Linked DNA regions of Oryctolagus cuniculus. The protein of the gene in region 1 interacts with the protein of each later gene in a biochemical or structural test. Links are inferred from orthologs where the notes say so. Each region holds a gene or a part of one and is shown in the gene's direction. Other genes may lie near its edges.

Region 1 (3,500 bases):
AATTGTTGATAAGAAACTGAAATATTCATAGGCTGCATCTGGCAGCAGGACATACAGTCTCTGCTGGTAGTCAGAGCACATTCACTGTCACTCATTTTTATTTTATACTGCTTTTTATAATTTGAAAGTATACATGGTGTGCGTGACTTTTTTTTAATGTTTATTTTTTTTTATTTTAACCAAAATCTTTATGTTAATGTCATTGCATTTTGTTTTCAGTTGACATTTGGTCAGTTGGGTGCATCATGGGAGAAATGATCAAAGGTGGTGTTTTGTTCCCAGGTACAGATCGTATCCTTATCTTTGGCCTAAAGTGTAGTTTCTAAAGGTCAAAATGTATGACAGCTGGGTCAGGTATAATGCATCTGTCTCTCCCTAATATAAGCATTGTTAAATTATTCTTTCAAAATACCACCTGCTATTGGCATAGACTTCTCCTTTCCCTCATTGATTGTTTCATAAGTTAATACTGAAACCTGCTCAAGTGTAATCACCCATAATTACTGGCTGGCTTTGAGTTGATTTATTGAACTAAATCAAAAGTCATGGCTTGCATTAAAAATTTCTAATAATACACTTGAGTAAGTCTAAAAACACCTACAACTTAATATGAATTTTGGAATTATCTGTTGCATCTGGCCATCCTTCTGTTTTGTCTGTTCCCCCCCACACTTTTTGTTACTGTGTGTATTTGTGTTTTTTGATTGTTGTCTCATCACTCAACATACTGATTCTTTCATCTGAGAATTTCAGCAGCAGTAGTTTTATGTGGTGGTGGTTAAATTTTGGTTCATGCTTTTTGTTCATCTGACTGCTTTCCATATTCATATTAACACTGATCTCTTAAGTTTTTGTTAACTGGTAATGCTTAGAATTCTTTAGGGAGGAAGAATGAGAAAGGTCACTTTGAGTTTTAGAATGAGGACTTCAGGGTCTTGGAATTCTGTAAAAGCTAGGAAAAAGGAAAACAGGGAATCCTAACCTTAAAATTTATTGAAGTTGCGGATCTGTTTCATAAGTTTCAGAACTTTACAGAAAATTAACATCGGATAAATAAAGAATGGCAAAGGAAAATGCCGCTTTTATCAAAGCCACAATTTTTCTTGCTACTGATTATTCTCTCTTGGTGTGGAAAACTCAAAGGCAAAACAGATTGTAGAAATATTTCTTATTCTCTAGGAAATGCATTCAAATTTTCTGATAATTTAGAAGAAAATGGCAATTTTGTATGTTAAAATTATGTATAGTTTACATTTAGAATCCCAGTGGATAGTAATAACCATGAGTTTTTTGTTTGAGTTACTTATAATTAATGTTTACAGTGTGGTCAGGTTCAGCTTCTGCTTTTATGGTGAAATCAGTCTGTACACACACAGACACACACACAGTCAACAGGGTCGGCAGAGCTCATTCACTGATCGTTTCTGTCACCTACCGTCAGTGCCTTTTGCAAGGTGGCTGTGAGATACAAAATTTATAACCGCCACATTCTTTCTTGGGATTTTAGAAATTTCCATTTTCTTGTATTTTAATGTGGATATAACTAATGTGTCGAACATTAGATACAGAGTATTTTTCTTAGCTACTTGATATTAGATATTGATCAGTGGAATAAAGTTATTGAACAGCTGGGAACACCATGTCCTGAGTTCATGAAGAAACTACAACCAACAGTAAGGACTTACGTGGAAAACAGACCTAAGTATGCCGGATATAGCTTTGAGAGGCTCTTCCCCGATGTGCTTTTCCCAGCTGACTCGGAACACAACAAGCTTAAAGGTACTTTTTACAAACATGTCGTCCCATTTCATGTGTGGGGTGTGTGCGTATTCATATTCTTATGGGACATAAACCCAAGGTTATCTGTGGATGGTGGGATGAAGTGAGGTTTTAGTTATTTTTATCTTTAATTTTATATTTCTAATCCTATGTATGACCTGATGCTATAGTAAAATTTATTGTTTTTAAAACATAGGCTTTTAAAATAAAAGATAATATCAGGTTTCTGAAAATTTATTGATAAATTGAGAACCTTTCTGAGTACAAGCATGGTAACATCATTATGTTTACAGCCAGTCAGGCAAGGGATTTGCTCTCTAAAATGCTGGTGATAGATGCATCTAAGAGGATCTCTGTAGACGAAGCTCTCCAGCACCCATACATCAATGTCTGGTACGATCCCTCTGAAGCAGAAGCCGTAAGTTCTTTCTTAATGTTTGAAGAATATGCTGCATTTTTAGAGTTGGCATTAAGTTACATTTGCAGGAGACCTTGTACTTTTAAGTAAAAAAATAGGAATGTTATAATGGTGTTTTCTATTTTTACATGAAGAGCGCCTTAAGCTAAGGTCATGTCCAAGCCACACCTATACAAAATCAAGTCACCCCCTAGTATTTCTTGCCTTGATACCTGATCAGAGGGACAGAGAGGCTAGGATATTGAATGCTCTGGGAAACGTCTTACCTTAGAAAAAAATTATCTTATCCAAAGCCTTGCAAAGTTCTGTGATATAAATGTGCAACAAAGTCAAAAGCTGGAGCAAAAGATAAGCATCATTCTTTCTGCAGTGAAGGAATCTTCCAAAACTGGTCTGTCTATATATATAAGAAGGTTGTTGACGATTGATCAGTCTTGGTCTAATGGTGCATTTTTACAAGTCTCCTGTCTGATTGATAATACTCCCAATAAACTGTCTCCATTATTGTTGCTTTGTGTTTTCCAGCCACCACCAAAGATTCCTGACAAACAGTTAGACGAAAGGGAACACACGATAGAAGAATGGAAAGGTAACATTTATCAGATTCTTAGAAAATTGAAAGAGCTTCTGCCTCTTTGAAATGTGATTTGTTCATCATGTTAGGGAAATTAATGATATTTTTCCATTATTCATAACTGGTATTTATTGATAATATGATACCTAATGTTTTTACAACAGTGGAAAGTATGTCCCTTTCTCTCACTGACCAAATTTTAATTTTCCAAGTTCTCTACCCAAACACAAATACACATTAGTGTTTCTCTTGAATTTTTCCTTAGTCTGTAAAAATGCAGCTGTATTTGGTGTATGCCCTCTCCCTTCTCCTACCGTTTGTAAGTCACAGATTGTTCTACACTATGTGTACTATGCACACTTGCCTTGTTGCAATAATCATACATCTTGAAGGTGTTTCTCGGTTCATGTGACTGCCCCATTTGGTTCTGCTCTGTGATGTATCACAATTTCTATATCCAGCTGCCTCTTGAAGAGCATTTTCATTGAGTCTAGTCTATTACATTGATAGACAACTCTACAGTATTCCTGTGCACATGCGAGAATAGGCCTTTAAGAAACATTCCAGGAAATGTGCTGTGTCAAAGGATATTTTTCAGTTATTTCTAACTAATCCCCACAAAAATTTTAGTTGTATCATATAGCTAAGTGTCAGTCAGTGGTTCCCCCTCCCTTTTCAACAGAATGCTAACAGATTAAGAAATTAATAGTATAGTAATCTTTTCTGTTG
Region 2 (4,180 bases), on another chromosome or scaffold:
TTTAAAACACTCAGAGGCACTTGATGCTTGTTCAAACTTTAGTGTGAGAAGTTGGACTGTGTATGGGCCTGCACTTATGCAGAGGTGTCCAGGGGGATTTCTTCCAACAGCTCAGTGGGCACAGTTGGCCAGCTAGTCATGGCTTGACCCCTCCTGGTTTCAGACCCACATTGCAAGCAATTATATAAATATGCCCTACCACTTAGTCTATTTGTTAGGCCTGGAGACTGAAGCCTTTCTCTAAATACCTCCAATCAGTTAATGAAGAGACAGAGAGGGGGAGAAAAAAAAAATCACAGCCATCTATTTCCATAGTGTTCATCCTGTTTTACTGCATCGTCATTATTTCGCTTTGTGCCCCCTCCTCCCTGAGACAGGGGTGCAGGGGAGGGAGAAAAAGCTCTCTTTCTTCAGGATTCTTTGTTGTAATATCTCCACAGTTCATCTGGGTTTTTCCAATCCGTTTTGTTTTCCAGGGCAACTTTCCTGAAATTCTCCTGGCATTTTCCTGAGGCGGCGACCAGCAGCTTGCCCCGGCCCCGACTCGTGTCCCCTGCGCACCGGCAGGGGACCCTTCTGCCGGCCCAAGTCGGGGGCACGGCGAGCGGCGGCGCGGGCTCCTCGGCGCTCCTCCGGCTCCGTGCAGCCAGGCTGTGGACGCTGGGCTCCGGCTCTTTGCCGCCCGCGGCCGCTGTTCCAGAAGCGCCGGGCTGGCGGTCCTCCGCTCGCCGGGGACCGTGCTGGGTGGAGGGGCGGCGGCCGAGGCCAGCACGGCAGGCGGGCTGCGGAGACCCGACGCGCCGCGGGGGAGACGGGGTGGGCGCCCACTGGGGCGAGGTTCTGGGGCCCTGGGCGGTGCGCTGCGGGGCGCGGGGCGCCGGGCCCAGGGGAACCGCAGCGGTGCAGCGGCTCAGCGCCCGACCGCGGTCGTAGCGGACGTGGCCCCAGGCCTCTGCCTCCTCCGAGCAGCCCTCCGCCGCGCCACCTGTGAGCTCAGGGTCGAGCCCGGGGGCCCAGGCAGGCGACGGCGGGGGCGTGACCGGGTCGCGGATACCGGAGAACAAGAAGGAGGCGCGCTGCCGCTGCGCGGGGTACCAGTGGGGCCGCCGGTGGGGCAGCGACATCTGCGGGCCGCCCGGAGGAGGAGGGGCCGAGTGGCCGCCGGCCCGCGGCGGCTCCGGAGTCGGGGCCCTCGGTGCGTGGCCCAGGGCGGGCGGGGAGGGGGCGCCGCTCGCGGGCGGGCTCCGAGGCATCCCAGGGGGGGAGTCTTGGCAAAAGTGGGCGAATCCCGGGGAGGGTCTGTCAGGTCACAGCTCTCCCAGGTGGAGCCGGAGGTTGTCCGTGGTCCCCGGCCTTCAGAAAGTTACTCCGGCACTTTGGGCCGTCAGTCCAAAGGAGGGAGGAGAGATGAGGAGGCCGCGCGGCGGGTCTCAGGGCGAGGGGCGTGTGGACGGAGGATCCGGTCGAGGAGGGAAGAGCCTGGTTTAGCCCGAGCCGCCCATTGACAATTCAGCCCCGGAAAGGGTTAAGGCGGCGGGCCGCGCCGGCTTACATGTAAATAGAGAGCAGCTGCTCCGCGCGGGCCCCGGCTGGCTCTTTTAAGTTTTTGATTGGTTGCCAATGACATCACCGCCCGTGTTCTAACACAGAGGACCTGGAGCCGCGTCGGATAAACCCGCCCTGACGAGGCGAGGCCACGCCCACAGCTCCGCCCCCCTCGGCCGCCCATTGGCCGCGGGCCTCTATGAGGTAGCGGTCGGTTTTCTCCGGATTCCTACTGGCCCAATGCGCCGTCGGTCGCAGGCCAGCCCGCCCCCTCAGAATCTTACATTTACAGTGTAGCAAAAGAGAAAGTAACTATGTTGCTGCTGGAGATCAATGAAGCCAAGTGAATGGGGGCTGAAGGTGCGAGTCCTTAGCTGAAACCGAGCGCCGGGGGGTGGAAGGCTACACTTATTGATGAAGTAAGTGGAAGTCGCCGGGGCCACTCTGGAGAGCCCGGGAGTGGAGGTGCGTGTCTGTGCGTGTGTGTGTGAGTGTGTGTGTGTGCGTGAGAGAGGGGAGAGGGAGGCGCGATGCTGACCGAGGAGCCCCAGCAGGTACGCTTCCGAGCTTGGGGCTCCTGGCCCCGCTGCCCGGTGCGATTACTCGCCCTGCAGCCTACTCGAGTCGGGGGGCGAAGCAAAAGCGAGGTTTGTTGGGATGCTTTGCGGCAGTTCTACTAAATGCCCGGGGCTTCTCCACGCGCCGTGCGGCGGCGAGGAGGGGGCCACGTTCCGTGCCCTCGGAGCGGGCAAGGAGCACGGGCTAATCACTTAGTTTTTCTTTCCAGCCCCTGCCTAGCGGCGGAAGGGCGGCTGGCCAGGGCAGGGGGGCTCAGTTCGAGGTTTCTCCGGGAGGTTTCCTGGGCCAGACTGGATGGTTTCACGCGCAGCACAGACGCCCGACCGTCTGCTGCAGGGCTGCAGATCTGTCCGCACGCCCGGTGCGTGTGTGCGGGCCGCGCACCCCGTGTGGAGGCGGGGGTCCCGGCGCGCGAGCCTGCGGAAGCGCTGGCGCGCCCCTCTCGGAGGAAGCAGACTGTGGATCCTGGACGTGCCCCACCAGGTAACACAATAGCAAAGACTTCGGCTGCTTGGTCCCGCTGGGACACAGTTACAGCTTTTAGAATATGGAATAGTACTCGCTCCTCCAAAAAAAAAAAAAAAAAAATACTACGCATACGCAAGGGAGCAGTGTGTGTGAGAGAGCGACACCCGAGTCAGTGGGGACCTGCGGACCTGGTGGTGGGTGCATGCCCCTATGTGCGCGCGTGTGTGTGCGGATTCCGCCTGTGAACACTTTGGCTCTGTGTCAGAGAATGGTGACGATCGTGTGTAGACGGATGATAGATGACATTTTTCCCGGACAGCTCTTGAAGTTCGTTTGGGTGAGCGGCTCTTGCTCGGGGTTTGGTTTCTTTGCTGTGTGCATGTCTGATAGAGGAGTCAGTGGGGTCGAGTTGTAGGGTGTCCCTGAGCCCACAGGTAGGAAGGGACCATTCCTGTTCAGGTGGTCTCTGAAGACATCAGGGGTAGACTCCTGGTCTCCACTTCCCTGCCTCCCTTCAACAGGGACACGCTAAAAGGGAAGTCTTTATCCCATCCTTACTCTCCAAGGGGCAGATATCTGTATGGGATTAAAATCCTATACAAAGCAGCTGCTACCCACTGAGAAAAGCTCCAGGATGCATAGCAGGGGAGATGAAGAGGGCAGGAGTGCAGGAAGGATGGGGGGGAGGGGTTTCCATAGATAACTCCTTCGCTTCAGATTTTGTTTTAGGACACCAGTGTTTAGTGCAAAGGGGGGGGGGGATGCAGATTAATTAATGAGGCTACCAGAAAGCCTGTGAGGTTTTAATATGACTATGTTGTGCGTTTCAAAGGACCCAACAGAATGGAAAGCAAGACTCGCTCCTGGCCAAAGAGGTTCACTTAGGGGAATCCTTTCCCTCTCAGGTGCAGAAAGTTGACATCCGCCCTAATGTGTATTTAGCTGCTGTATATTTCTGTAAGCCTTGGCAATGCTCTTCGTCATCCCTCTGGCTTTGCAGGGAGTGAAGGGATGAAGTGGGAAGCATTCGAAGGTAGGCAATCAGGGCTTTCTCAGTTGCAGAATCCTCTGCTCAGGGCGTGAGGCTCAAAATAGATGCCTCTTAAGAACCTTCCTTTCTGTCTTCAGCTTTCCTAATTCTTGGTGCTTGTACCTTCTCCGAGACTGAACTTTGATGTCAGTCCATGACAGGTTGCTCATTAACATTTACAACATTAAGTCTGAATCGAACCCTAGACTTCACAGCAAAACTGATGGGGGCCCTCAGATTTGCATCCTCCTATGAATACATCCAAGCTTTGATAGCGGCAAGATAAAGGGCACTTGGGACTACTCTGCTCCGAGGGATGCAAAGGCCTTTCCTAGGGATTGGATGAGACTGCCTTTTGTATCACGTGTTTTTATTCTTTCTTTCCCCTCCCCCTTCTTTACAGACTATCTTGAGTTCTTCTTGAATTGCCAGTTTTCAGCCTCCTCATGCCTCCGTCTCCTTTAGACGACAGGGTAGTAGTGGCACTGTCTAGGCCCGTCCGACCTCAGGATCTCAACCTTTGTTTAGACTCTAGCTACCTTGGCTCTGCCACTCCAG
Region 3 (4,049 bases), on another chromosome or scaffold:
CATGTGTCTCTGTGTATGCATGTGGTGTCTGTGTGTGCCTGTGTGTCTCTGTGTGTGCACATGTGCCTGTGTGTCTCTCTGTGTGTGCGTATGTACACACACAGGAGCACACAGATACACACAGGCACACACGCAGGTACACACAGTTATACAGGGAAACACACAGGTGCACAGATACACGCAGGCACACACACAGGTGCACACACAGGCACACACACAGGTGCACAGATACACACAGTTATACAGGCACACACAGGCACACACGCAGGTACACACAGTTATACAAACACACAGGTGCACAGATACACGCAGGCACACACACAGGTGCACAGATACACACAGTTATACAGGCACACACAGGCACACACAGGCACACACACAGGTGCACACACAGGTGCACACTTGTGCAGCAGCACATGCAGGCATAACAGCCCAGGGCCATCCTGTGCCGGCAGTGTGGACGGAGCGGGGCGGGGCCAAGCTGTAGTGAGCAGTGACCCGTAGACAAGCCTCACGGTCCAAGGGCATCGGTGGGGAACCAGCCAGCTGTGGGTGGAGCCAGGCTGCTGGAATGGGGGAGGGGAGAGGGAGACAGGACCCCCCCCCCCCCCCCCCGCTGTCTCCTGAGAGGGGCAGGTCTGGCTGTCCCTGGTGCCTGGGACACTGAGCGTGTGCACGCCTGTGACGGCATGGCGAGGGGGCTGAGCAGGTGCCCACGCGGGGCGGCGGGAGCGTGTGAGTGCCATGATGGGGTGCAGCCCCCAGTGTGCAGGGACAACAGGAAAGAGCAGCGTCCCGGTCTTTGATATTAAAATATTAAAATACACCTGCTCCTTGGCTTTATTTTCTTTGTTGTTTGTGGTTCACTAAAGCCTGAGGATCGCGGAAGGAAAAATCCAAGTTGCTTTTAGATCATTTCCAGGTCCAATGAGCCCGTCCAGCCAGACCAGACAGGACCGGGGTAAAGGGACTGGGGACTAGGGGTGAGACACGGCAGGATCAGAGACCACCTAGGCCCAGGCCCCTGGACCCGGCGCCCGGAGGGAGCTCTCCGGGGATGGCGACCCGGCCCAGACCACGGTGGGCAGAATTTCACCTGCTGGTCGCCAAGCCGTGCCTGTCCCCGCCTGCCCTACTTTGGCCCATCCAGGCCTGGGGACCCCCGCCCACACCACCGGCGCCCGGCACGGACAAAGGCGCTTCCGTTCCAATCCCGGGGTCGCGGCGCGGGCAGAGCCCACAATGACTCAGCACGGGGGGCGGAGCGGGGGCCGGCCGGGGCGGGCCGGGGCGGGCCGACCCTAATAAGGCTCGGGGCCGCTGGCCCTGCGCCCGAGCTCCGCTGCCGCCGCCCGCCTTCCACGCAGCAGCCTGCAAATCTGCCCGCGTCCACCGCGTCCACACCGCAAACAGTGAGTCCGCGCCGCTGGACTCCGAGGGGCTCTGAGAGCGGGGATGGGGCACGAGGCCGCCCGTTCCAACGCCGGGCGGGGGTCTCGGGGGCCCGGGTAGACCGTAGCCCGGGGCTGGGGGCTCCCGGGGGGCCGCGGCGCAGCGGAGGGACCCCAGGGAGCGCAGCGGCGCCCTCCGCTCCGCAGCGGACCCTGCGCGCAGCCCCTCATCCACTTCTCTGTCGCCCCCCAGTGCCGCCCTACACCATCGTCTACTTCCCAGTTCAAGGTAGGCGTCGGGACGCGGAAGAGAGGGGATGGGGGGATGGGGTGGCCGCGGGAGACCCTCTGTGCCCGGGGCCTCCCTGCCTGGGTCCCGCGCCCACCCCACCGCTCCGTCCTCCTCATCCCCAGGGCGCTGCGAGGCCATGCGCATGCTGCTGACCGACCAGGGCCAGAGCTGGAAGGAGGAGGTGGTGAACCTGGAGACCTGGTCGCAGGGCTCCCTCAAGGCCTCCTGTGTGAGTGAGGGCGCCCAGCCCGGGGCGGGGGCAGGGCCTGCAGCGGGGCATCGAGCTCACAGAGCCGCGCCCTTTCTCCAGCTGTACGGGCAGCTGCCCAAGTTGCAGGACGGAGACCTCACCCTGTACCAGTCCAATGCCATCCTGCGCCACCTGGGCCGCACCCTCGGTGAGTCCCGACCCCCCCCCCCCAGGCTGGGGGCGTGTGTGCGGCCGCCATTGGTCCTGAGCTAGCTCTGCCCGCCTTCTTCCCCAAGGGGAGGAAGTGGACAGGCACGGGGTCTGGGCCTGGCTCGAGCCCTCGCTCTCTGCCCGCCAGCTCCCATTGTCCTGGGCAGCACTTGAATGAGGGTCAGCTGCCCCTCCTCTCTGGGCTGTGCAGCCACGTGGCCGCCAGTGCGTCAGCCGGGGTGCGGGGTGGGTCAGGTGTCAGTCACACTGGCCGCTCCCCCCCACTCTGCCCCAGGGATCTATGGGAAGGACCAGCGGGAGGCCGCCCTGCTGGACATGGTGAATGACGGCGTGGAGGACCTGCGCATCAAGTACATCACCCTCATCTACACCAACTACGTGAGCCTGGGCCCCGGCAGCCTTTAGCCCTGACCCCAGCCCGCATGGGTCTCCGGCCGACCTTGCCCGCGGTCAGGGCTCACCAGCCTGCTTCGGCCGGACACACTCCCGCCCCCACTGCGTGGGGCATGAGCACAGTCCAGGGAGGGGGCCCCTTGGCCAGGGCCGAGTTGCAAGGGCGGGAGGCAGCGGGGGCAGGTGCGTCCTGGTGACTGGCGGGCACCGGTGCTCTTGCTGAGTAAGGTGTGCACACAGCAGGGGCCAGGTCAGCAGAGGGTGAGTCCATGCACACAAGCCGGGGGTGGTGGGAGACAGGCCGGGGGGGGGTGGCAGGCCCAGGTCCTGATGAAGACCTTGAACCTGACCGTGTGGAGTCCCCTGAGGGCAGTGGAATGGGGGCCACGCTCAGCAGGTCTGTGTCTGGAAGCTTCCGGGGTGGGGGGATCTGGTGAAAAATCCTAGCGGGGGTGGGGAGACAGAAGAACCAGCCTCTGATGGTGGGGAGGGGGCTGAGGGGAGGAGCAGCAGGCAGCCCTGGGTCCCCCGCCAGGGGGCAGTGCCAGGCCCTGGGGGGGTGGGCGCTGGGAGGGCAGGTGGTGCCAGCGGCTTTGTGTTTCTGGCAGGACGCGGGCAAGGACAGCTACGTGAAGGCCCTGCCCGGGCACCTCAAGCCTTTTGAGACCCTGCTGTCCCAGAACAAGGATGGCAAGTCCTTCATCGTGGGCGACCAGGTGAGCCCCCGGCCTGCCCGCCTGCCCTCCGGCCCCACTCGCTTGCCCTCCGGCCCCGCTCACTCTCTGTAGCCGGTAACAGGTGCACATCACTGCTTCAGCAAGGTGGGGCCGCCCTAGGGGGTGAGGAAGGGGCTCAGGCCCGTCCCACTGGCTGAGACCCCGTCCCCTCCCCTGGCAGATCTCCTTCGCCGACTACAACCTGCTGGACTTGTTGCTAACGCACCAGATCCTGGCCCCCGGCTGCCTGGACGCCTTCCCCCTGCTCTCGGCCTACGTGGCCCGCCTCAGTGCCCGGCCCAAGCTCAAGGCCTTCCTGGCCTCGCCCGAACACGTGAACCGCCCCATTAACGCCAACGGGAAAAAGTGAGGGTTTGTGGGACCTGCCGGAGGCCAGGCTGTCAGGACCAATAAAATTTTCTAGGGAGAAGCTGTGCGGTGCCGCGTGTTTCCTGGGGAGGGAGCTCTGGGGCCCTTGACCTTCAGTTCGGGCCAGAGGGCTAGGAAACCTGCATCCGAAACCGCACTCCTAGTGCCTGCCTGGAGCCCTCTGTCTGTGTCCACAGAACTTCAGGCACAGCAGGTGCAAGCCAAAGAAAGCAGAAAGCACCGTGGTCACCAGAGAGAAACCTTGCTCCCGGAAACAGGCTTCCAGCCGAGCAGGTGCCCGCGGCCGTGGCTCCGCCTAGCACAGCGGAGCCGAGAGGGCTCTGGGCTCAGGGGACACTGGCAGAGGCGCCGGCCCTGGGACTCTCGGGGAGAAGCGGAGTAGCTCGGGGCGGCCAGGGGTGGGCTGGGGGATAGTCACCCCTCACCCCTCCTGCAGGGTGCTCTGG
Region 4 (4,183 bases), on another chromosome or scaffold:
CTAACAGATTTACCTAAAGTTTCAAAATGTGTACCATTGGATGTAGCAATCTCAAGCTATCCTGTGACGGGCGGGCGGGACAGCAGCAGCAGAAGCACTGCGCTACTAGGAAACCAGGACCCTTTCTAAAGTCCACGTGGCATCACCTTGTCCCCCACTTAACATTACACCTGGGAAGTCAAAGGAATTATCTAGCAGACGGTTCAGGTATAGCTGTATACGAAGACCAGCACGAAGGCTCCCTCGTCTCTACGCGAGGGCAGCTCCCTCTCCGATGCTTCCATTAACTACTCCGCACAATAAATCTAGAGACGCTGCTCCTGGGAGATTGCCCAGCGCAGACGAGAGGGGACAGAAACGCGACGCAGAGCTCTGTCGGGGGAAAAAAAAAATAGGGGTGTGGGGGGGTAGGCGTCTAAAACCGCTAACACGCAAAGGTGAGCTTCTCCGCGGAGGCTCCCAGGGCCCGCGGGGCGGAGGGGACCCCGGCGGCCGCCCGGTCCCGCCGGCGAGAGAGACGTGCGGCGAGCGGCGTCGCAGCCGCCGAGGGCCGGGCGCCGGCCGCGGGTGACAGGAGCGCGCACTTCCTGGCACGGCGCTGGTTCCTGCCCCCAGACGCGCTCGGAGCGGCTCGAGGCCGAGCGAGACAGCGGCAGGGACCCCCGCCGCTCGGGGTCTCCCTCGCGCCCGGCGGTGTCAGGAGGTGGACAAGGTGTTACGGGCAGCTCTCGTGTTCGTCCCTGGGAACGGCGCGGTGGGGCAGGGGACCTGAGGGGAGGCACTCTTGTCTTTAAGCCGAAACACAACTTGAGCTTTTCGGGCCGCAGCACCCCGGGTTTGCTTTCGCTTTGCAGCGTGCGACAGCCCCGGGCACCACCTGCGCCACCTCCGGAGCGGAGCCGCGGCAGGGTCTGGGGGTAGGGGGAGGCCGGTCTGCGCCCGAGTTCCCCGACGCTCACAGCCAGGGGCCGTGCGGCTGACGGACCGCACCCCCGAGTTCCAGTGCATTGATTTCTGTAGCGAGCTCCGGGCAAGCCGGGGCGAGACCGCGGCGCGAGGCTCCTCCTGTCGCCGGTGCGGCCCGCACTACCTGGCAGCGCCGCGGGGGCAACGCGCACAGCCCAGAGCGCCCCCGCAGCCGACACCGCCGAGCCCACGCAGCCCGCCCGCGCGGGGCCGAGCGCAACGCCCGCTCCTTCCCACCTGCGGCCGCCGCCTCCGCCACCGTCGCGGGCCAGTCCGCACGCCCGTCACCCAGGCCGGGCGCCCGGCGGGCGGCGCTCACGCAGTTGGCGCAGCGGCCCTACGCCGGCGGCGCAGCGCCCGCCCGTCCGTCCGCCCGCCCCCTGCGCTCTCCCCGCCCCCTCCCTCCCTCGCAGGGGCCGAGCGAATGTAGCCCGCGAGAGAAAATGGCGGCGGCGGCGGGGAATCGCGCCTCGTCGTCGGGATTCCCGGGCGCCAGGGCGGCGAGCCCCGAGGCGGGCGGCGGCGGAGGGGCCCTCAAGGCGGGCAGCGCGCCCGTGGCAGCCGCGGGGCTGCTGCGGGAGACGGGCAGCGCGGGCCGCGAGCGGGCGGACTGGCGGCGGCGGCAGCTGCGCAAAGTGCGGAGTGTGGAGCTGGACCAGCTGCCCGAGCCGCCGCTCTTCTTCGGCGCCTCGCCGCCGTCCTCTTCCACGTCTCCGTCTCCGGAGCCCTCGGACGCAGCGGCGGGTGCGAGCGGCTTCCAGCCGGTGGCGGTGCCGCCGCCTCACGGAGCGGCAGGCGGCGGCGCCCACCCTGCCGAGCCGGCGGCCGCGCCGGACACAGGCGCCCCGAGCCCCGCGGGGGCCGAGCCCGGGGAGAAGCGGGCGCCCGCCGCAGAGCAGCCTCCTGCAGTGGCCCCCGCTGGGTGAGCAGCGCGGCGGGGACTTGGGGGGGCGGGCGGACGGGCAATGAATGAACCCCGGGCGGCGCGCACGGCGTCCTGGGGCTCGGCGCAGCGGGACCGCGCGCTGCTCGCCGGGACCTGCGCCCCCAAACTCCCCCGACCCCCTCTGGAGGCGGGCGGCGCCCCAGAACCCCGGCTGGGGCACGGGACGGGGGCGTGCGGGAGTTTGTTATTGTTTGCAGACATGTGACAGGCGTGCGAGCCGCGCTGCGGGGACCCGTGGCGAAAAGGTGTGGGGGGCCCCCCGGCTGGCTTTGTGGGGCTGCCGAGGTCGGGGCTCTCCGAGGAGCCAGGGCGCGGCGTCCCGAGGCCAAGCCGAGGGGGCGGGGAGAAGGCCGGCCGCGGCGCCCCAAAACGGTGTCCCCGGGGCGGGGGGCTTGGGGGGCGAGGCCCCATCGTGCTGCAGGGTGGGTGGGGAGCCCAAGGTCGGGGCTGGTGGGGGCAGAGAGGCAGGGCCGAGGAGAAAGCGGCAGGTCCCCGGGGACGTGACAGGCAGCGCCCCGCGGCCCGCCGGGGGCCTGGAGTCTCAGGGCAGGTACTGGGAGCCGGTCCCGGGCGCGGTGCACGGCCCGGTAACCCCTGTCAAAGCGCTGCTCCACGGACTGCAGGCTCGTGGGCGCTTGCAGCCTTGCAGGACGTGCGGGTTTTCGAACCTCGTCCCCCAGGGGTCTGTGGGTGCTCTTCGGGAATGCAAAGTTGCACCGCGAAGACGCGAGGGATCCCTGCTCGGAGTTTGAATGTGGCCTTTGAAGTTTGCGTTCGGCGGAGTGGTGCCGGAGCCAGGACCGGATGTGTCAGCCATTCAGTTTGAAAGCGGCGGTGACGGCTCCCCAGTCCCTCCGGCGTGGCCCCGGGGCCGCGGCGCGGGCGCGGTGCTTCCTGCTCCGCGCGGCTGCGGGGCTGCCCGCAGTTCTGGGGCGCCGGTGTTGCGGGCTGCGGCTCGGGGAAGCCCTCCGCTGCGTGTCTGGAAGGTCATTGGGACCCGCTGTGCTTTGGCCTCGCCCTGCTTTGGCTCCTGCAAAGTGTGTGTGTGTAAGATGATTGTGAGTGTGACAGCCGTAATCCTTGATCGTGGTCACAGGAATCTGACTAGTGTGTGCAGAGCGCGAAGTCTTGCAGGAAATGTTTTTGTGACAGTCGCTCGTCGCCCTTTGGAATTCTGGAACTTGGTGATGGGAATGAAGTGTGTTTTATTGTGAGGAGTTTGACAGTGGGAATCTGTGGTTTTGCTTAGATATCTAAAGCCAGTGGCACTTTTTGTGCCTTTGGTCAGTTCTTTAAAATCAGTTTATTATGTGGATGTGCCCCCCCCCAAAGAAACCTTAAAACTATGCTCAGCGCCATACCATGGCAGTGTTGAGACGGAGGGGAGGTCTGGGACTGGTATTTTTCCGTGTGCACTTGTACGTGTAAATTGGCATTAAAAACATTCCCCTGTACTTTCCTGTTTCTATGTGGATTAGATTCAAACTTAACTAGTATCACTCTTTGAAGGCAGTTGTTACTGCAAGTGAACTTTTTAATCCCCAGTTTGAGAGATTAATTTTACCTAATTTCATGAGACCTAGGTTTTCGGATAAATAATCTGGCAAACATCAGCCCTCTATTCACTTTCATGAGCTGTAAATGTAGTATAAGAGCAACCAGTGTAAATACAAAACTTGTTTAGTGTCATCCCTTGACACAGACCGAGAAGACTGGGGTGGAAGCAGACAGAATTGAGGAACTGAGTCGTCCATGCTTAATTTTTGGTTTTACAGTGTAGTTATGAAGGCTCCTCCCTTTGTCTAAGAGGTGTGTTATGGCACAGTATGTAAAATAACAGACAAATATGATCTTTTGTTTACTTTTATTAGCCAGAAAGCCGTTGGTTATATGTAAAGATTACATGTTATGTAAAGATTTCATTCTAATAAAATGTTGATTTCTTATACTTTTGAAATATAGTGTTCCCCCCATTTCCTTGACATGAGGATTGAATTTATTTGAATTTATTGGTATAAAACTGATTATGGAGAAATTACTTGGCATTAAATTCTTTTACTTATTTATATTGCATGATTTTATTTATACCATGTGTAGTCTTAGAAAAAATTTTGATGATAAAAATTCAATTAAAATCTCCATTGAACTTTACATTTTTGCTTTTTAGACAGGAATTACATTCATACTTTCAATTCAAAACTCTAACACTGAGATTTTGAAGTATTTTTGTGTTTCAATAATAAAGGTCTGGAAATCCCTTCTGTCTCAAAA
Region 5 (3,500 bases), on another chromosome or scaffold:
GCGGAGAGGCGCAGGCCCCACGGCCCTCGTCCATCTGCGGTGTGCAGCCGGCAGCGGCCGGTGAAGCAGCCTGGTGGCCCGGCCCCTTCCACCTCTCCCTTCCCCGTGGTCCCTTGCTCCATGATGATGTGACTTGGAAGAGGCTCCCGTAACCGCACAGTGGTGTTTTTCTGCAAGTCCCACCGTGGCCCTAGGGAAAGCCTGTTTCCCTTAAAGGAAGCTAATGATTGCAGCAGGAGTCCTGCCTGGAACATGCGGCCTTTCATCAGGCCCGCAGTCAGGGCTGGCCCGGGAGGGAGGTGCTGAGGGCCCCCCTGTGGGGGTGGGGGGGACGCCAGCCTCATGCAGGCACCCACTCATTCATGCGTGCATGTATTCATCCGCTCAGTCGGCACACACCCAGGCCCAGCCTCTCTGCCCTGGAGTTGCCTCACAGACTAGCAAGCAGACCGTGGCCAGGTGTGGGGAGGGGCCTTGTGCAGCTGGGGAAGGAGGGTTGCCAGTGCCCGGGCCAGCTTTTCCGCCTTGGCGCGTGCCCCGAGGCCTCACCGGGAAGCCCCGTGCCCCTGCTTTGCAGCTGACTCCTTCCGTGGGACCCTCTGGACGTAGCCTCTTTGATTCCTGGTGATGCAGAGTAAAATTCCCTCTCCCCTTCCTCTCCCGGGGCCACGCTTCCTGGTCAGACTCCCACAGAGGCAGTCAGGACAAACCGTGGAGTCACGGCCATCCTTTAGGTGTCGTCGCTCCCTCTCGGAGCGCCTCCAGCCACGTGGCCCCCAGTCCCATGGGGCACCCACCCCAGCCAGGCTAAAACCTTAGGTCCAAGTGCCAGAGTCCGCTTCAGCCCAACTAGGATGCCCCAGGCGGCGTTAAGATCCGATCTGCCGGAGACTTCTGCCGGGATGTGCGTACGTGTGCAAGCACACACCCAGCCTCAGCGCTGCCGCCGGCATCGTCAGGACTCAGGGCAGGCACAGGGTTCCGCCAGTGTGGGAAGAGGCCCAGGGCCAGTGGGCAAACGTGAGCGCCCCTCTGGGTGGCGCATCTGGCCCGTGGCAGTGTGGGAATGCTCCCCTGGGAAACGTGCCTTGGCCACGTCCACTGCGTTAGCGCCTGAGAAGCACCTCTGAGCCGGGGCTGTCCTAAGTTGGAGGGGCTCAGGAAGACCCCAGGGTGGAGAAAGGGCACCCAGACCTCTGTCCATCTTGCACGCTTGCTGTTGCAAGCGCCGCCGCGTGGGAGTGAGGAACATCACGTGCACGTGGCCGTGGCTGTCGGATGAGGAGGGCTCACATTTCCTGTTCCTGCCCATCAGAGGGGCTGCTGAGGGACCCGGATGTGAACCGTTGGGGGATGACCGCGTTAAGCAGGGACCTGCCTTATTTATTTTTAGTTGCTGTCCATCTTTGAGTTTGTTTCCCTCGCCATGTGCTGACTTTTGTTTTGATTTTATTTATGTTTGTGTTTAAGCCATCCACACCTTCCTCTGCTAACACCCAGAGAACTAGGCCCTGCCCTAGCCCCAAACGCCCCTCTCCTGGTAGCTCAGACCCTTTGATCAAACCCTCCAGCCCTGCCGTGTGCCCAGAGCCAGCTTCCTCTCCTAAACACGTCTCTTCTGTCACACCCCGAAATGGCAGTTCTGGAACAAAGGAGATGAAGCTCAAGGTAAGGACTCGACCTCTGGAAAGAGCAGGCTGCCCGAGTGCTCAGTCCTCCAGGCGCTGAGACCTCCTCCCTCCCCCCGAGGAGCGGTGGCACAGCCGCACGTGCAGACTCGCCGGGACTCGGGCCAGGGGCAGGGGGCTCGAGGCCATGCCTCTCCGCTGCCCGGGCCCCTCGCAGCAGCAGCCCCCAAGACACCTGCTGGGACCCTGGCTTGGCAACCGCCCCTCTAATTGGGCTCCTCCTGACTTTGGTAACCGGAAGTGCCTCTGGTTCACCCTTGGCGGCCACACCTGTCCCTCCCGAACCAGCTCCTGCTCCCTGGCTAGTGTCAGTTTCTCACTGGAGTCTGTGCTGTGTGTGTCTCACGGGCGCCTCTGAGGAACCAAACCCACAGCTGCCCCCCACCTGTGCCAGGTCTTGCTCGTCACCCCGGGCCCCGAGCACACCTGACGTCTCGGTGTCGCTTGGGAGAGAACGGAAGAGTGGCTTCGCTCTGCAGCATTCTTGGGTCGGGCTCCACAAACAGTGTCTCCAAGGGCCTCTGAGGAAGCAGCCAGCACCAAATAAACCCATAATGAGAGGCAGCAATGGGGCCACCGCGGCCCGGTGTGCCCGTGCCTGCCCAAGGGGCCACACCAATGGCTCCCACGGGAATCGTTGGCAGGACTCCTGCTGATCACCACGCTGAGGGCTCCTCTGGGAGGAAGTGGAGATGCGGGCAGGTGGGTGGTGCTGTGGGCTTGTGTGACAGAAGGCCCTTGTGGCATCTGGTAGGCAAAGGGATGTCCCGGTCGTGGCCTCCTCAGAGTCCTGGTGGCGGAACGGGGCTGGCATTGGCGCTAGGTGGCAGTCCTCCTTGGCACGGTAAAAACCACTCTACCCTGATTCGGTTTACAGGGGGCTGATGGGAAAACTGGAACGAAGATCGCCACACCCCGGGGAGCTGCCCCTCCAGGCCAGAAAGGCGCAGCCAACGCCACCAGGATTCCCGCGAAAACCACGCCCTCCCCCAAGACCCCGCCGGGCACTGGTGAGAAGGGTGTTCTCCCCGATCCTGGCCTGGGGAGCTCCCAGCAGGTGCAGCCCTGGCCGCCGGGTTCCCCTGGCACTTAACAGCCCTCGGAGCTGCTCCGCGCCTTGCAGCCTACTCAGCCTCGGAGGGCTCACGTTCACCTTAATCCTGTGGACAGTTTGCTGGGGAGTGCTGAAGCCCCACGTGTTTCCATCAGGGAGCGAATGGAGGCACCGGGCGTTTGCCTGCTTGATTCTAACCAGCTCGAGGGAGGGGCGGCTGTAACTGATTAGGGGCAGGTGGGGGCTTTTCTCTGCGCTGCCCCCCCACCCCCTGGTGTGAGGCATTTCAGTCCCCAGGTGAGACCCATGGGGCAGCGGCTTGGCCAGGGCTCAGCCCCGGGTAGCGGCACTGCCGGGGGCGAAAGGCGAGGGTCGTGGCTGAGCAGCCAGCGGCTCTGCCCGCTCTCCAGGGCTCTGGGGAAAAACCACTGCCGGCTTTGATGACCTGGGCAGTTTCCGGCGAGCCGGTTGGCGTCCGTGGTGCTGTTGGGAACTGTCCCCCTTGTAGCAGGTGAGGGACAGCCTGGCTGGGCGTCTCCTCTCTCCCACGGCCCTGGTGGCCTGCTCCAGGCGGCCGAGTTTAGATTTTGCACCACGCGGCAGGTGCCTGGTCTGCATTTGCTCATCAGTGGTGCCAGGGAGTCTGTGGCTCTGGGTGCAGGCTGTGGTTGGGGCCTGGCCTGGCTCCTGGTATCTCCACTCAGGGCCTGCCCTTCATCCGCTGTGTGTCTTGGCCGCGCCGTGTGCCATGGGGTGGT
Region 6 (2,905 bases), on another chromosome or scaffold:
CTGGTCCCCGCAGGTAGCAGAGAGGCTCCGGCTGGTGGCGGTGCGCCAGAGCGAGAGCGAGGACGGCCACTTCACCGAGTGTAACAACTTGACCCTCATCAACCTGCTGCTTAAGGTCTGCGGGCCCATCCATGAGCGGAACCTCACCTTGCTCCTGCTGCTGCTGCAGGTGAGGTCGGGCATGGGGATGGCGTTTGTACTTCCTTGTGGCTCTTTCTCGACGGACCTCACGCCAGTCCATTTCTCTTGCAGGTCGTGGGCAGCGCTCTCACCTTCTCCATCCGATACCAGCTTGTCCGGCTCTTCTATGATGTCTGAGTGCCCTGGGTGTTGGCCCTCACCTCAGAGTCTCCAGGGGTCCTGCCCTGACCCCTGTCTGGACCAAGGCTGCTTCCCCTTCCCCTGTGATCATGGACATCCGGGGCCTTTCTTGCCCTCTGGCGAAGGCCACTGAGACTTCACCTGTGGCTCCCCACCTCAGCTGGCCGCTCTCCCGCCCTCGCATCTCTGGGCTGCAGCGGATTTTGGACGGTTACCCACAACTCGACTCTCAGGGTCCTGCAGCTCAAGGGATGTGCTGGGCCTTGGGGCAGAACCTGGGCTAGGGAAGGGACACGGGCTGGAAGGGGGCTTGACTCTCGACTCTAAATGAAGTATTCTGATTAGTAAAGGCAGACGGGGCACCCGACGCTCCCGTCAGTGACAATAAAGGGTCTTTTTTCTTGTTTCTGTACGTATATTTCCTATGGGGGCATTTTAGGAAAACAGGGAAGGGCGCGGGGAGAGGACCTCCAAGCGGAGGCCTGTGCCTGTGGCTGCTCTTTCAGACCCTTCCCAGCGAGAACACAACTGAGACCTGACAGGAAAGCTCCCGGCGGCACAGGGGGCCTTAAGGTGGGAGTGGCCTGTCTTCCGACGTGGGATCGTCCCTTTTTGCACTCTCCTTCGGCCTATTCGGAGGGGGCGGGAGTAGGGCGCCCCCAGACTTAGATGGGAAAGCTGAGGTAGCAGAATCTAGTCCTTTCCTTTAAAAACCCCAGGCCAGCACGGGGTCTGGCTCCACCCCTTTCGTCTTCCGGTTCTAGTCTCCGCCTGCCACGTTTAAATCTCGCGCGCTTTGCGCGGATTGGCCGCGTCCGGAGTGGCTGCCTGTCAGCCGGCCCGCACGCTTCCTCACCTTCTTACCCGGGCAAAAGGTTTTCAAATTCGACCAATCGGCGGGCGCGCTCCCTCAGCCGAGGCGCGTCCCCGAAGGGTTAACCTCAGCCAACCGGAGGCGGGTACTAGAAAAAAGAGCCAATCAGGAGAGCGCAGGGGGTGTGCCCTAGGGGCATATAAGGGCGGCCCCGCCGCGCGCGCGCCGGCAGTTGGACTGCGGCGGTTGGCTGTTGGGGGCTTCCGTCCGGGCGTCGCTTCGTGCCGTTCTACCTCGCGCACCATGTCCGGCCGCGGCAAGACCGGCGGCAAGGCCCGCGCCAAGGCCAAGTCGCGCTCTTCGCGCGCCGGCCTGCAGTTCCCGGTGGGCCGCGTGCACCGGCTGCTGCGGAAGGGCCACTACGCCGAGCGCGTGGGCGCCGGCGCCCCGGTGTACCTGGCGGCCGTGCTCGAGTACCTGACGGCCGAGATCCTGGAGCTGGCGGGCAACGCGGCGCGCGACAACAAGAAGACGCGCATCATCCCCCGCCACCTGCAGCTGGCCATCCGCAACGACGAGGAGCTCAACAAGCTGCTGGGCGGCGTGACGATCGCCCAGGGAGGCGTCCTGCCCAACATCCAGGCCGTGCTGCTGCCCAAGAAGACCAGCGCCACCGTGGGGCCGAAGGCGCCTTCGGGCGGCAAGAAGGCCACGCAGGCCTCGCAGGAGTACTGAGGGGCCCGCGCCGCGGCCGCCCGCCCCGCGCCACCACAAAGGCCCTTTTAAGGGCCACCACCGCTCTCACGGAAAGAGCTGAGCCACGGCCGCTGCCCCTCCCCCGCGCCGCGCACCTGCACGCGCCTCGGGCCGGGCTCGTGACTCAGCCGCCCCACGCTGCGGGGCTGCGGGGCGGCCGCGGCGCCTGCGGAAGACGGCCTGCGGGGCCGAGCGGGCAGCCCTGAAGGTGAGGCCCTCGGCGGCCGCAGCCCAGGACTGGGACACCCGTCTGCGGCTTCCAGGCCTCGGCGGGAGACGCGCTGCCCCTCTCGTCGTTGGCGGCCGCACAGCCCGGCTCCGTTCGCCCCGGCGGGGCGGGGGACTGCCCGGAGGACTGCCGGGCGGCGGCGGCGCGGCCCGCGCGCTCAGACCAGCCCCGTCCGGACGGCCTCCGGTGGCTTGATTGGGACTTTGCAGCTAACTCGTCGGAGAACCAGAGACTGGGAGTTTCGGATGGACTCATTTTGTTTATTAAAGGATTTGGTTTTTTAAATGAAGCGCTTCCGTGTACTTGCCTGAGGGGGCGGGGCGGGGGTTCAGCTAACGGGAAAGGCTGTGCCGGGACCGGGTGAGGCAGGAGCCGGGGGGCTCTAAGGTGTGTGGGGGGCTCTCCGCGGTATCCGGGGACCGTGTCGGGCAGAACTACTGCGGCAGGAACGCGGTGTTCCAGAATTCGGGGGGAAGGGTCAAAGGGGTTTGTGCCTGTTTGCGTCTCCACCGACCGCACCACGAGACAACCGGAGAGCCGCCCTCAGCTGGTTTATTCCCGGGGCTGGTTACATTCAAAGGCTGTGGCTTGCATTGTGTTCTCTAGAGATGAGGCCCCCACGCAGCAGGAGGCAAGGCCCCTAGGTGAGGCGAGTCCCCGGCGGTCAGGGACCCCGCAGTTCCTCCTGGAGTGACCACTTCCCAGTGAGAACAGGGCACTCGGCCGACGTCCTCCCCGGGGAGCGGCAGCCCAGGCAGGCACCTGTGCCCACGGCCGCTTAGTGG
Region 7 (4,191 bases), on another chromosome or scaffold:
GCCTGACGCGGGACTTCAGCCCGGGGCGCGCAGAGCCCAGGCCGCCTGAACGCGGGACTTCAACCCGGGGCGCGCAGAGCCCAGGCCGCCTGACGCGGGACTTCAGCCCGGGGCGCGCAGAGCCCAGGCCGCCTGACGCGGGACTTCAGCCCGGGGCGCGCAGAGCCCAGGCCGCCAGACGCGGGACTTCAGCCCGGGGCGCGCAGAGCCCAGGCCGCCAGACGCGGGACTTCAACCCGGGGCGCGCAGAGCCCAGGCCGCCTGACGCGGGGCGCGCAGAGCCCAGGCCGCCTGACGCGGGACTTCAGCCCGGGGCGCGCAGAGCCCAGGCCGCCTGACGCGGGACTTCAGCCCGGGGCGCGCAGCCCGCTGGGTGACGGGGAGGGATCGGCTCCAGGGCGGCCGTGGTGCAGGTCAGGATGAGAGGCTCGGGGCCGACTCTAAGCCGTCCCTAATGTAAGTGAAGTCCTGGGTTCACAACGTCTGGGTGTGTGGTCACACACAGGCCTCCAGGGGCTGACTGCGGGCCGCGCCCCGAAGGCTGCAGGTACCAGATTTAGATTAAAAAAGGAGAGAACTGAAAACCTAAGAGATGCGCACCTATCAAGGCAGGGCTCAGGACGCCACCGCCGGCCGCGCCAGCGTCCCTGTCCTGGCGGCTCCACCTCCAGCCCGTGCCTGGGAAAGCACAGAGGACGGGGCGACGGATAAAGCCTTCAGCCTAGCCCAGCCCTGGGGGCAGGGAACGGGGGCTGGAAGGCCTCCCTCTCGGTCTCCAAGTCTTTCAAATAATCTTTTGAAAAAATTTTTAAAAATGGTTGATGAAAAAACTTCTTGCATAAAAGGCACTTTCAGACAAAGATCTCCCATCAGCTGGTTCATCCCCCAGCGGCCGGCCGAAGCCAGGAGCCCCAGCCGGGTCCCGGGCGCACCGGCAGGGGCTGGCTCCGCGACCCCCGCGACCCCGCGGGCTGGGCTGGACGCGCCTCGACGCCCGCCCCTCCCGGGCACGGAGTCCCTGCTTTTAACAGACGCGTCTCGACCCCGTTTCCGACAGTTTTGAACGAGATCAGAGAAACAAAAAGCGGATACTTGGAAACCCACTAGGTGGCCTCGACACGTGCCCACGGCCGACAAGAGCCGCGCCGGGGTCGGCCCGGGGTGCGGGCCGCAGGCCGCTTCCCGGGCGAGCGGAGGGCGCGGTCACCCGGGAGCCCCCGACCCGCTACGGCCTGGAAGCCGCCGTCCGCGCGCACCGCCCGGCGCGGCCGCAAACCGCCCTTCCGGCTCCGGTGCGCTTCCGGCGCGGAGCCCGCTTCCGCTGACGTCACGGCGCTGCGACCCCCGGCGGCGCGGCGGGGGCGGGACTTCCGGCGGCTGAGTGACGGGCGCGGCAGCGGCAGCGGCGGCAGCGGCGGCAGCGGCAGCGGCAGCAGAGTCGCCTCAGCCTCCCCCTCAGCGGCGGCGGCGCCCGAGGCGACGCCGCGGCCTGCGCACCCCCGGGCAGCCAGGGCGGGCCGGGCGCGCCGGCCGGACAGCGGGCCGCGCTGGCGGCGGCGGTGGCCGCGATGATGGAGATCCCGATGGACGAGGGCGGCGGCGTGGTGGTCTACCAGGACGACTACTGCTCGGGCTCGGTGATGTCGGAGCGCGTGTCGGGCCTGGCGGGCTCCATCTACCGCGAGTTCGAGCGCCTCATCCACTGCTACGACGAGGAGGTGGTCAAGGAGCTGATGCCGCTGGTGGTGAACGTGCTGGAGAACCTGGACTCGGTGCTCAGCGAGAACCAGGAGCACGAGGTGGAGCTGGAGCTGCTGCGCGAGGACAACGAGCAGCTGCTCACGCAGTACGAGCGCGAGAAGGCGCTGCGCAAGCAGGCCGAGGAGGTGCGCGCGGCCGGGCCGGGCCGGGGCCGGGGCGGGGAGGTGCGCGCGGCCGGGCCGGGGCCGGGGCCGGGGCGGGGAGGTGCGCGCGGCCGGGCCGGGGCCGGGCCGGGGCCGGGGAGGTGCGCGCGGCCGGGCCGGGGCCGGGGCCGGGGCCGGGGAGGTGCGCGCGGCCGGGGCCGGGGCCGGGGCCGGGGAGGTGCGCGCGGCCGGGCCGGGCCGGGGCCGGGGCGGGGAGGTGCGCGCGGCCGGGCCGGGGCCGGGGCCGGGGCCGGGGAGGTGCGCGCGGCCGGGGCCGGGGCCGGGGCCGGGGAGGTGCGCGCGGCCGGGCCGGGCCGGGGCCGGGGCGGGGAGGTGCGCGCGGCCGGGCCGGGCCGGGGCCGGGGCGGGGAGGTGCGCGCGGCCGGGCCGGGGCGGGGGCCGGGGCCGGGGCCGGGGGCGAGGAGGTGCGCGCGGCTGGGCCGGGGCGGGGGCCGGGGCCGGGGCCGGGGCCGGGGCGGGGGCGGGGGCGGGGGCGCGGGGCCGGGGCCGGGGCCGGGGCGAGGGCGCGCGGCCGGGGCCGGGGCGGCCCTAGCCCGGGAGTCGCCGGTCCGGGGCCGCGGGGAGCATCGCTTAGCCTGACCCCCTCGCCAGGGATGCCGAGCGCGACGGGTGCGGGGCCGGGGTCGGCGGCGGCCGTCCCAGGGCCGAGCGAAGGGGGTGCGGGGCCGGGGTCGCCGGCTCCGGCCCCCGAGGACCCAGAGCAGCCTGTGGGGACGGGGGAGGGGGAGGGGGGCGGCGGCGTTGGATGCGTCCCTAACCGGGAGTCGCTGGTCCGGGGGCGCCAGGGATGCCGAGCGCGGCGGCGGCCGGACCCAGCGCAGGGGGTGCGGGGGCCGTGGGCTCCCTCCCCGTGACCTTGGCCCTGGTCACCTGCCCGTCGGGCGGAGGAGCGAGTTGTCCGGGTGGGTCTGAGCCCAGAGACTGCGGGGAGGAGGTCCCGCGGTTCTCTTGGGCTTGTGGATGGGGGGGGGGGGGCAGAGGAGTTCGGGTTCCTTCCTGGTTAACTGGGCCTAGCGTTCTTGGCTTCGGTGCTCAGCCGTGAGGCGGTGCCAGTGTCTTGGCTTTTTTTTTCTTTTTCTCTAAGCCGCAGCGGTTTATGGCCTGGTTCGCGTCACGCGTGTTTGTGAAAGGCGCCGGTGTCCTGTCTGGCGTCATCCCTGCCGGCTCTGGTTGGCTTTGCTTCCCGGGTTCCCGTCTGGTTGCCGCCACCAAAGCTGGTGTGACGTTCTCCACGTCAGGGTTGCCAGAGCTGGAGTGTGAGAGCTTACGGAGATCTGGGGTGCTTCGCAGGGGAGCAGCTGGCCCCAAGAAGTGGGGGGCTGCCCAAGGTCACATGCACAGCCCTGGGCACCAGGCCAGGACGCACCTTCCCGCGCTGCAGGGGGTCAGAGGGCAGCTCCGGGCTGGGATGGAGCCGCCAGGATGGACGCGTCCACCCTCCCGCCAGTGCTCTGGGGACTGAGAGCCGCTGGGTGTGCGTGTGGTGTGCAGGCCGGCTCACCCGCCGCTGCCCCAGCTGTTGGAGAAGCTGCGGAGGGCTGTGGGAAAGGGTGGGTGGCCGGCCAGCCGTGATGGCACCAGGAGGCCCTGGTGAGGACGGGGCTGATGCCGTACACGCAGCATCCCGGCTCCCTTGTCACCGCAAGCAGGGGTCTGCGGGAAAGGCCTCTGATCACGGAGGTGTGTGATAACACAAGGGCTGGAGGTCACCGGTGCAGGCGTGGTGTGGTGCAGAGTTGGCTGAGCTGTCGGCCGAGGCCCGGCCCAGCCGCCGGCCAAGAAGGCTTAGTCAGAGTCGGGAACCTGAGCCGACAGAGCGGCAGGGGTCTCCCGAAGGCCTTGACCCAAGAGAGCAGCCGTCCCCTGCCTCACAGCCAGCACCCTGGGAGGTTCTGGGCGCGTCCTGGCGGCTGGAGCCCTGGGGTGACAGTGGCTGGAGATGGTGGGGTCCCGGGAGAGGCCCCTGCACCCAGCCTCGTCTCCTCTCTGGGCCGCCGCGGCTGCTTGGGGAAGCGGGTGGGTTCCGGATGTGGCACGTGGAGGACTGTGCTGAGACGGTGTGGCAGTCAGGGCAGAGCCCCTGGGGGCTCACGGCGAGCCCGGGCATCGCCAGCCCCCGCGGGGCAGAGCAGGTCCTGTGGCCCAGTGTGAGTGCCTCAAGCTCCTTCCCTTGGAGGAGGGGGAGCTCGGGCCGGTGAGCGGGCCTGCTTTGCTGCATCACCCGGCGGCCGGCCAGGAGCCCAGAGCCCTTTCCCGGGAGTGGCAC

The links.
Region 2: the proteins of MAPK8 (region 1) and DUSP10 form a complex in vitro, tested with the Homo sapiens proteins (2 studies listed by BioGRID, with this or other methods). The link is inferred for Oryctolagus cuniculus from reciprocal best matches to the Homo sapiens genes MAPK8 and DUSP10.
Region 3: the proteins of MAPK8 (region 1) and GSTP1 form a complex in vitro, tested with the Homo sapiens proteins (2 studies listed by BioGRID). The link is inferred for Oryctolagus cuniculus from reciprocal best matches to the Homo sapiens genes MAPK8 and GSTP1.
Region 4: of the proteins of MAPK8 (region 1) and MAP3K1, one has a biochemical effect on the other in vitro, tested with the Homo sapiens proteins (3 studies listed by BioGRID, with this or other methods). The link is inferred for Oryctolagus cuniculus from reciprocal best matches to the Homo sapiens genes MAPK8 and MAP3K1.
Region 5: of the proteins of MAPK8 (region 1) and MAPT, one has a biochemical effect on the other in vitro, tested with the Homo sapiens proteins (2 studies listed by BioGRID). The link is inferred for Oryctolagus cuniculus from reciprocal best matches to the Homo sapiens genes MAPK8 and MAPT.
Region 6: the proteins of MAPK8 (region 1) and H2AX form a complex in vitro, tested with the Homo sapiens proteins (2 studies listed by BioGRID, with this or other methods). The link is inferred for Oryctolagus cuniculus from reciprocal best matches to the Homo sapiens genes MAPK8 and H2AX.
Region 7: the proteins of MAPK8 (region 1) and MAPK8IP3 form a complex in vitro, tested with the Homo sapiens proteins (3 studies listed by BioGRID, with this or other methods). The link is inferred for Oryctolagus cuniculus from reciprocal best matches to the Homo sapiens genes MAPK8 and MAPK8IP3.

What each region holds. Positions count from the first base shown.
Region 1 is NC_091446.1:81,421,328-81,424,827, forward strand, and holds part of MAPK8 (mitogen-activated protein kinase 8), read left to right. Parts: intron 1-219; coding exon 220-291; intron 292-1,596; coding exon 1,597-1,779; intron 1,780-2,072; coding exon 2,073-2,197; intron 2,198-2,722; coding exon 2,723-2,786; intron 2,787-3,500. UniProt on the Homo sapiens protein: Serine/threonine-protein kinase involved in various processes such as cell proliferation, differentiation, migration, transformation and programmed cell death.
Region 2 is NC_091444.1:36,078,647-36,082,826, reverse strand, and holds the start of DUSP10 (dual specificity protein phosphatase 10), read left to right. Parts: upstream 1-1,380; 5' UTR 1,381-1,905; exon of another isoform or gene 1,906-2,010; intron 2,011-2,086; exon of another isoform or gene 2,087-2,607; intron 2,608-4,025; 5' UTR 4,026-4,068; coding exon 4,069-4,180. Other genes in the region: uncharacterized protein, read right to left, coding at 411-1,253. UniProt on the Homo sapiens protein: Protein phosphatase involved in the inactivation of MAP kinases. Has a specificity for the MAPK11/MAPK12/MAPK13/MAPK14 subfamily. It preferably dephosphorylates p38.
Region 3 is NC_091432.1:4,531,876-4,535,924, reverse strand, and holds GSTP1 (glutathione S-transferase P), read left to right. Parts: upstream 1-1,249; 5' UTR 1,250-1,411; coding exon 1,412-1,412; intron 1,413-1,644; coding exon 1,645-1,680; intron 1,681-1,805; coding exon 1,806-1,912; intron 1,913-1,993; coding exon 1,994-2,081; intron 2,082-2,378; coding exon 2,379-2,482; intron 2,483-3,105; coding exon 3,106-3,213; intron 3,214-3,394; coding exon 3,395-3,583; 3' UTR 3,584-3,643; downstream 3,644-4,049. UniProt on the Homo sapiens protein: Conjugation of reduced glutathione to a wide number of exogenous and endogenous hydrophobic electrophiles. Involved in the formation of glutathione conjugates of both prostaglandin A2 (PGA2) and prostaglandin J2 (PGJ2).
Region 4 is NC_091445.1:77,490,529-77,494,711, forward strand, and holds the start of MAP3K1 (mitogen-activated protein kinase kinase kinase 1), read left to right. Parts: upstream 1-1,383; 5' UTR 1,384-1,409; coding exon 1,410-1,888; intron 1,889-4,183. UniProt on the Homo sapiens protein: Component of a protein kinase signal transduction cascade. Activates the ERK and JNK kinase pathways by phosphorylation of MAP2K1 and MAP2K4. May phosphorylate the MAPK8/JNK1 kinase.
Region 5 is NC_091448.1:17,246,876-17,250,375, reverse strand, and holds part of MAPT (microtubule-associated protein tau), read left to right. Parts: intron 1-1,470; coding exon 1,471-1,668; intron 1,669-2,565; coding exon 2,566-2,698; intron 2,699-3,500. UniProt on the Homo sapiens protein: Promotes microtubule assembly and stability, and might be involved in the establishment and maintenance of neuronal polarity.
Region 6 is NC_091432.1:111,204,176-111,207,080, forward strand, and holds H2AX (histone H2AX), read left to right. Parts: upstream 1-1,350; 5' UTR 1,351-1,438; coding exon 1,439-1,870; 3' UTR 1,871-2,405; downstream 2,406-2,905. Other genes in the region: DPAGT1 (UDP-N-acetylglucosamine--dolichyl-phosphate N-acetylglucosaminephosphotransferase), read left to right, coding at 14-169, 253-318; HMBS (porphobilinogen deaminase), read right to left, coding at 2,899-2,905. UniProt on the Homo sapiens protein: Variant histone H2A which replaces conventional H2A in a subset of nucleosomes. Nucleosomes wrap and compact DNA into chromatin, limiting DNA accessibility to the cellular machineries which require DNA as a template.
Region 7 is NC_091450.1:33,432,118-33,436,308, reverse strand, and holds the start of MAPK8IP3 (C-Jun-amino-terminal kinase-interacting protein 3), read left to right. Parts: upstream 1-1,391; 5' UTR 1,392-1,568; coding exon 1,569-1,886; intron 1,887-4,191.